2 linked regions of the Nothobranchius furzeri genome follow. The protein of the gene in region 1 interacts with the protein of each later gene in a pairwise test. Links are inferred from orthologs where the notes say so. Each region holds a gene or a part of one and is shown on either strand. Other genes may lie near its edges. The genes, in order: tp53rk and tprkb.

The links.
Region 2: the proteins of tp53rk (region 1) and tprkb interact in binary tests that used the Homo sapiens proteins (3 or more experiments, as listed by UniProt). The link is inferred for Nothobranchius furzeri from reciprocal best matches to the Homo sapiens genes TP53RK and TPRKB.

The regions. Positions count from the first base shown.
Region 1 is NC_091753.1:42,148,679-42,152,909, reverse strand, and holds tp53rk (EKC/KEOPS complex subunit TP53RK), read left to right. Parts: upstream 1-1,450; coding exon 1,451-1,655; intron 1,656-2,799; coding exon 2,800-3,287; 3' UTR 3,288-3,562; downstream 3,563-4,231. Other genes in the region: wdr53 (WD repeat-containing protein 53), read right to left, coding at 1,300-1,402.
Region 2 is NC_091741.1:55,582,631-55,586,631, reverse strand, and holds tprkb (EKC/KEOPS complex subunit TPRKB), read left to right. Parts: upstream 1-1,346; 5' UTR 1,347-1,614; coding exon 1,615-1,755; intron 1,756-1,883; coding exon 1,884-2,006; intron 2,007-2,107; coding exon 2,108-2,284; intron 2,285-3,007; coding exon 3,008-3,094; 3' UTR 3,095-3,343; downstream 3,344-4,001. Other genes in the region: alg10 (dol-P-Glc:Glc(2)Man(9)GlcNAc(2)-PP-Dol alpha-1,2-glucosyltransferase), read right to left, coding at 1-13, 86-283, 971-1,135. UniProt on the Homo sapiens protein: Component of the EKC/KEOPS complex that is required for the formation of a threonylcarbamoyl group on adenosine at position 37 (t(6)A37) in tRNAs that read codons beginning with adenine.

The sequences.
Region 1 (4,231 bases):
CACTACTTTTCTTCACTTTATAAATATGAACAACTGATCCCAGTCACTAATTTATAATATACTGTAGATTTCTGGAAGAAATTTAAATAAACAACAATTTACTACTGTACACACAAAAAAGACTGTCAGGATCTGCTCTTGTCTCCATTTTCAAGTGTTTATTGGATTCATCTGCCCCTGGTTATCGTACCTACTTGATTTATGTATACCCCGAGCTTGATTAAAATTTAAAGTCCCAATAGACGTCACACACACTGGTGTGGCAAAATTTCTCCCCAGCATTTGACCCATCCCTGTGGGGAGCGGTGAGCTGCAGACACTGCTGCACTCGGGAACTCTGCCACACTTAGTGCTGAGTGTCAAGCGGGGAGGCATTGGGATATGACCACCCAACCAGGGATTTGAACCCCAATCGGATCTCCCAGTCTAAGGGCAGACATTCATAGCACTAGGCCACTGAGCTGGTGTGTTGTCTTTGACAGATTCTCACCGTGTCAAACCTGATTTGCCACCCTACCTACCATTATCCATATTAAACTGTTCTTTTGCCTGCTAGTCTGCTGCCTGTCCACCTGCATTTGGGTCCCAGTTCAACACTCAACATTGTGACAGTGATAAGTAATATAAAACAAATTAAATGTAATACAGATTGAACGAAGGACAAATCTGAGTTAATATTCATTTGGTTTAGCTCTTAACTGATCACTATTTCTAAAACTTCATATTTATTGTCATACTATATTTTGGACTAGTTTTAACACTCTTGACAGCTAATCTGGCTTCATGTTTGTTTTATAGACTGTAAGGAAAACACGTTTTTCACCTGCCAGACTCGTCCTGTCTATGTACAGTCTATGGTCTATTCACATTGCATCCCATAAGCATGGCTGGCCAAACTACATTATCACGTGTTTAGCTAAAGCTACAATACCATACTAAATGTGTTTGTAGGAATAGCGTGGTGGTATTTTTAAAATGGACCTAAAGGCCAAAAAGCATCAGTGAATTTAAACAACAATAATTGTACGAATCTGTTCAACCCCAGGAAGCTGATAGTTTTAGCTCCGCGGCTAACTCGTTAGCCAAAAGGCTAACTATACAACGTCAACATCATATAACATTTTTGCAGCGCAGACAAATATCTTTGTTTCGATTTTAAAATTTAAAACGACTCAGCAGGACAGTTGTGAAGGACAACTTCATAGTCAGAAAATTACGCTACCTTAACTTGCGACTATCGACACACGGTCGACTGTAAAAAAGCCAAACTTCAGAAACACAGACATGACGTAGACGTACCATTTGAGGACGTAAAAGCGTCACCGCCATATTGGATGGGTCTCACTTCCCAAAGCCGAAGTACACCGACCGTGCCGTTCCCTTTGTGGCCGCTGTGTGGCATTGTTCTCAAATAAAGCCAACCAACCAAACACAGAAGAAGAACGCAAACATGGCGGTTCCCCAGTTTGTCGGTAAAGCAGATTTAGTTAAACAAGGAGCAGAAGGCCGCGTGTACCGGGCACAGTTTCTCGGTAAGCCGACCATAGTGAAAGAGAGGTTCCGTAAACGCTACCGACACCCGGTGCTGGATGAGAAACTGACCCATCGCAGGACAGTTCAAGAGGTCCGCTCCATCCTCCGCTGCCGGCGAGCAGGTACTCCTTCTGGGCTCTGCCCGGTCCCGGTGATACCGGATCCTCACTAAACCAAACCCCTCCTCATTTAACTGCATAAGTATTCAAGGTTTGGCTAAGAAACTGTTTTAAATTGAATAAATTGGCCAGATAAGTTAGAAATCACTAACTATGTAAAAAAAAAAAAGCTCATTCATGATATTTCACCACTCTTGAAACATTTCCATGGTGTTTAATCAGCAGTTTATGTGATTTATACCAGTATAGACTTATTGATTAAGAGTCTTATGCACAGATTAAAGATAATTTTCATCTTTCATAGAAACGTATCGTTGTCCCACGGCTCATTTTTCATTACGTTTATTTAGCTCACGTAGAAACGTTTGTCCGATTACAGTGTAGACCAGGCTGGAGTTAGCTTCTGATTAGATTGTTTCAAAGGTGATTCCATTCATCCTTTCATCTTGACCACCTATACAGCTTTAATTATTCACTCTAAAGGCAGAATGTTTAAACAATATTTATACCCTACATCACAGCAGGTGCAGCTCCAAATGATCATAATGACATGATTAAAATTTGATTTAAAATGCCCAATAGCTATAAAAACCTAGTAAATGCCTATTTATAGTCATTTGACCAATCACAGTCAGGGAGAGAGCATGCCAAAAACAGTTTCAAAGCTGTGGGAGTGCTGCACACAGCGAAACATCTCACAGGGATTTTGAGTTCATCATCAAACATGTACCACAGTTTTTCTCCTTTCAACCTTTTCTTTTTTGTGAGATGAGTTTAAGTGTATATAGTTAAACATAAATACAGATAGTATTTAACCATGTTAAAACGCAATATTAGAAATGTGGATAGTATTTTTCTGGTATGAAATGGCCACCAGTATGCTACAGCCTTAGTCATTTAAAGACACCCCAGTTTATTGATTTTAGTTGTCCCCATCTGAGTTTGCAGGTATGAGGACAGGTTAATTCAGTCACAGCAGCACTGGGACGTGGGCGTGATTTTGACTTTGATTGGATTTATTATTTATAAGGAAAATGAGACGAAACATGAAAATGATCCCATCATTCTGGATGCAAAGGCTAATGCAGGTCTCTAGCTTAACTTTCCTACATCCTTGACATCACATAAAACTGTGTCTTCTCCACAGGCATATCTGCTCCAGTGGTTTACTTTGTGGACTACACCTCCCACTGCATTTTTATGGAGGAAATTGCAGGATCTTCAACTGTGCGAGACCACATAGTCTCCACACAACAGGCTAACTCCTGTAAGGAGCTGGAGCTGCAGCAGCTGGCTGAGCGAATCGGCCGGATCTTAGCCAAAATGCATGATGAGGATGTCATCCATGGAGACCTGACCACCTCCAACATGCTGCTGAGGTGCAGCTCACAGGACACAGAGTCTGACCTAGTCCTTATTGACTTTGGCCTCAGTTACATCTCCTCTTTGCCAGAGGATAAGGGAGTAGACTTGTATGTTTTAGAGAAGGCATTCCTCAGTAGTCACCCCAACACAAATGTGCTGTTTGAAAAACTGCTGCAGAGCTACACCAAGTCATCAAAGAAGTCTCCAGCGGTCATCAAAAAGCTGGATGAGGTCAGGCTCAGAGGCAGGAAGCGGTCCATGGTGGGCTGAAGGGGGTTTCTGTTGCAGAACAAGAAATTCTACATTATTTTGAACAAATGTCTTATTATAATAAAAAGTAGTTTCAATAATCCTAATGTGATTTACTTTTTGGTCCACTTCACTACTTGATTTCATATGTAGAAAAAAATCATGCAAGTTTTTCTTTTTCAGGAAAATCTCTCCATTAGCTAACAGTAGTTTAGCTAACATTTGCTCTGCTAATCTGTTGAACAGTGTGGCTTGAATATTGCTATAATTAAACTAGCATGTTTTGGGCAACTCCATATTTTTATGTCTAGATTTTCTTGTAATGTTTTACAGTATTTCAACAGTATTCTATTGACCTTTTACTCTTTGGGTATAAAAAGGTTCCAAAAAATCAGCAAACAAATTTAAATTGGATTTAGACACTTTGGACTTTTCTGGAATTGAGATGTTTATTCCAGAAGCCAACTTAAAGAAGAGCCCTTTCATTCCTCATGAACTAAATTAAAAAACTGTGCTAAATCTTGCTGCTCACAGAGTATTTAGGAGGGGAGGTAATGAAAATTGGAAATGGAAAGAACATCAGTTCTCCATAAACCGGCCACAGTCAGGTGCACTACATAAGATTCTTTTACGAGGAGTCCAAAGAACAATCAGGAAAGTTCTCCAAGAGTTAAGAACAACCGGAGCAGAACTTCAGGAAGACCTTGCATCAGCAGGCACAGTTGTTTTTCGAAAGGAAACTATATGCAAGGCACTGAACCATCATGGCATCCATGCATGCTCACCACACAAGACTCTATTGCTGAACAAAAAGGCTTGTTGAGTCTCGGTTAATGTTAGTGAAACAGCATTTGGAGAAGCCTGTGGAATACTGGGAGACTATAATATAAATTTGGCTCTCATTCTGCACCATGTTTGAAGAAAAAATGGCACTGCCCACCTCCCATATCAACAGTTAAGTTTGG
Region 2 (4,001 bases), on another chromosome or scaffold:
AGGTTGTTCTTGTCTGAAACAGAAGTGAGATTTTAGAGAACGAGCAAAAACCACAAACCTGTTTATCCCACTGATTCTGTCTTACCTTCTCCCTGAAGTGCAGCTTGCAGATGAGCAGGTAGATCACATAGAGATTGCCACAGTTGAAATGCAGGTTGATGAAGCGCAACATAGTAGCAGAACATACGATGTCACCCGTCAGGTCGGCAAGCCACACCACAGGCTTTATGATGCCCACGGAGATCAGGTAAAGGCCTGGTGGGGTGGTGATCATCGGGTCCCACTGTAGGGTTTGTCAGCAACATGAGATTAGAAAAACGTTAAACCAAAGAGACTCTCAGCCTCAGCTGTCAAGAAATACAAAACCTTTCTCTACATTTCTGTACTTGCTAGTCAGGTGGGGATTGGTTTAAATCAGGATTTATAAAACTTAAATAGTTGTTTCTGATCTCCAAAACATCACTATTTAATAGCTGTGTCTAATAAATGTAATAGCTTTCTTTTACATCTGAACATGTTGTAAATCAATGTTTTTTGTCAATATTTAGCATGTTGTATATTTGAAATTGATCAGCAATTATATGTAGTCTTTGTTTTGTTATTTTAAATATTTAGTAATTTTGTGTTTGGATCATTCAGTAAATCTTTTGGGGTTCTTTTTTCACAATTGTAGAATTGGATTTAATAATTTACGTTACCATTTCATATTACAGTCAGATGTTAATACATTCACTGAACATATCAGATTATTAAAAATATATTTCAACTACCATTAAAAAAATAACATTTGTTCACTAAAAATATTCTGGATCCAGATTAAACGTTCCAAGCTGAAAACTAATACGGGATTAAAACCTCTACAAGCTGCCACATCACTGGTGAAATTACAAAATAAAAGCCCAGCTGTTGGCTAATCCTAATCATCTACTCAGTTTCCGTGACTACAACTGCGTTAAAAAAATAATGTTACCTCGTTAAATTTCCCATGGCAGTATTTCTGAGCTTGCGGAATGTGAAAGATCTCGTCCATGTACGGCTCCCTCTGCTCTCGGGTGATTTTAGAAAACACCAAACAGGATATCAAGAAGTTGGTGCTGCAGAGGGCAGTGAAGATGTACCCTTCAAATTTCTCCATGTTGGACGGTGGAGCTAAATTTAACAATTAGTTTGTTCCTAAACTAAGTATTGTATTGTTTTATATCGCGCATAAAGATCTAATTCGAGGATTAAAGCTGATCCACAACAGAAACGCGGAGAGAAACGGCATTAAGTTCGTTCAGTGATGCTAAACGGAAGTATTTGTTTTCAACAACGGTATGTCCGCCTTGGAAATGTGTCCGACAGGGGATCGCCACTTGCCAGTGTTACAAGTATTCCCTACATTCGTTAAAAAAACATTTAGCGTGATGAATGGTGATAATTAGTTCAATTTAATTGAATTTTTAGACAGTTTAACTTAATGTTATTTTTTGCATAAACTCCTCGGTTTACGACATTTCGTTCCATATCGTGTTTCTGTATTTTAGTTCCGGCTGTGCGTGTTTGTTGTTCGTTAACGACAAGCAGCGCCATAAATGGAATAAAACCACCTAATTTTGTCCAATATTTTTCAACATGCACCTTACTCGTGTGCTGGAACTGTATCCCGATACCAGAGTGACACAAATACTTTATAAGGATGTCAAAAATGCAGCAGAGTTGAGACGAAAAGCCATGGAGGGCAACATAAACGGTGCTCTGGTCAACCCCACGATGGTGAGTCTACTGTAATTGTTTGGTGTCAAAATTTAAAGTGGCTTCTTATATAAAATTTGTACATGCTTACATTTTGAAAATTATCCTTGTAACGGGTAAATTGTTAGACTTGTTTTGTACTTTTACAGCTAGTTGGTCCTTTCCAAGTGTTGGTGGCTGCAAACAAAGCTGTCCATCTACAGACAACTGGGAAAATGAAGACAAAAACTTTAAACGCAGAAATAATCTTCAATCTCTCACCTACTAATAATGTAAGTGACACAATGAAAATATTCAGGCAAAAACTAGAATTTTTCTGACTTTTGTTTCGCTATTATCATTGCCAAGGTTTCTGTCTTCTTTCTAAAATCAGATCTCAGAGGCTTTTAAAAGATTTGGCATCTCAGATGGTGATCACTCCATCCTAGTGGTTGTGGTTCACAAGAGTGATGAAGTACAGTTTGTGTCAGACATCAGCGCAATGGTGGATGGACAGCAGCTTCCAGTGGATGATGTGTCCTCGCTGTCTGACTTCAACAAGATCAAAAAGGTGTGACTCGTGTTCAAGGATGTCTCACTCTCTTAGTTTATATTTTTATGTCCAAATCCATAAAAGTAGTGATGTTATTACTTAATTTTTAAAAATATCAGTTTTTCCTGTTTCTTTGAGCTTGCAATTTATGCTTCAATTAAGTGATTTTTTTCTGAGAACCAATTATTCTATATTTTCCAATAATTTATTCCATCATAAAATCAAGAGAAAGTTTACACTTAAACTGTTTTGTTGTGCTTTTCAAGGTTTAATTGGAATAACATTTTTTTTATCCCTTGAAAAATTGCAAAATTAAATTTTAGGACGCCCACCCCCTCAAAAAAACAAAATAAATAAATAAATGAAATGGATAAACTCACCTTTCTGTTAGTAGGTCATAAAATCTAGAAGAAGTTAAATTTGATAAAAGTTTTTGTGCTTTTTCTGCAAAGCCTCTCTTGTTTTAGCAGGACAATGCTAAAACTGTATGCTGTAAAATTATCCAAGAATTTCCTTAAATTCTGCACATATTTATTTTATAAATATATGATAAATAATCTAGCGTATCTCTGAGTCATAGGACAGTACTATCATACACACAAACACACGGTAGTGACAAGTTGCACAGCTGCCCTGGGAATTGCTGACAGCGACTAGGAATATCACTTGACATGATTTCTCACTTTGAAATGTAAATGTTATTGTCAAATAACTCATTTTAAGCTGCATGTCTCATTACAGCTGTTTAAAATCACCCCTCAGGAGGAGAAATGTGGGCCTCTGCTTGATGCAGTCGTATGCAGAATGGCCATCAAGGATGTTTTATAACTGCAAAGGACAGAAAACCAGAGCAGCCCTCGTGATTTGATGCAGTTTGTGTCAAATGACACGCGCACTCACACAAAGCTTTGTCTCTGTGCTGAGTGAAATGTTTTTCATGCTTTTTGCTTATTTCCTGGATTTGTTCCATACCATGACTATGTAATACAGATAAAATGTTTAAAGGCATTTAGAGAAATCCTTCAACAATATTTAACATTGTCCTCATTTTCTACAATAAACGGTCCTCTTTCTGAATATTTTGAATGTGTTTTGTCATTTTGAGGCTCTGAGTCTTTTTACCAGCAGGGTGTAATCATGTGAACAGGTTCTCATGCACAGCTCTGATAAATGATAGATCCAAAGTGCTCAGAGACAAATGTCAGTAAAATGCCTGAAGACTAAAACAACAAAAAATCAGTCTAGCATGAAATTGTTTTACCTGTCAAACCTCTGCTGGAGAATAAAGCAAATGGAGCAAATATTTGGAACATTTAGGTGTACTCTTACATACGGGTGCAGGTTATAAAGTTAAAATATCATGACAAATGTGATTTATTTTAGTAATTCCATTCAAAAAGTGAAACTTGTATGTTAGATAATTCATGACACACAGACTGACATACTTGAAATGTTTTTCTTTATCTGACGAATGAAACTCCAAATTCAGTATCACAGAATATTAGAATATTGTGAAAAGGTTAAATATTGAACTGGTGACACACTAATCAGTTCAATAAATCAGAACACAGCAAAAATATTTTAAATGTCTCAATTCAGTTCTGTAGACTACACAATGGGAAAGACTGCAGACCTGACAGTTGTCAGGCAAGTCACACAAGGTGAAGAGGCTGGCTGTTCAGAGCTTTGTGTCCACGCACATTAATAGAGAGGCAAAGGGAAGAAAAATGTGTGG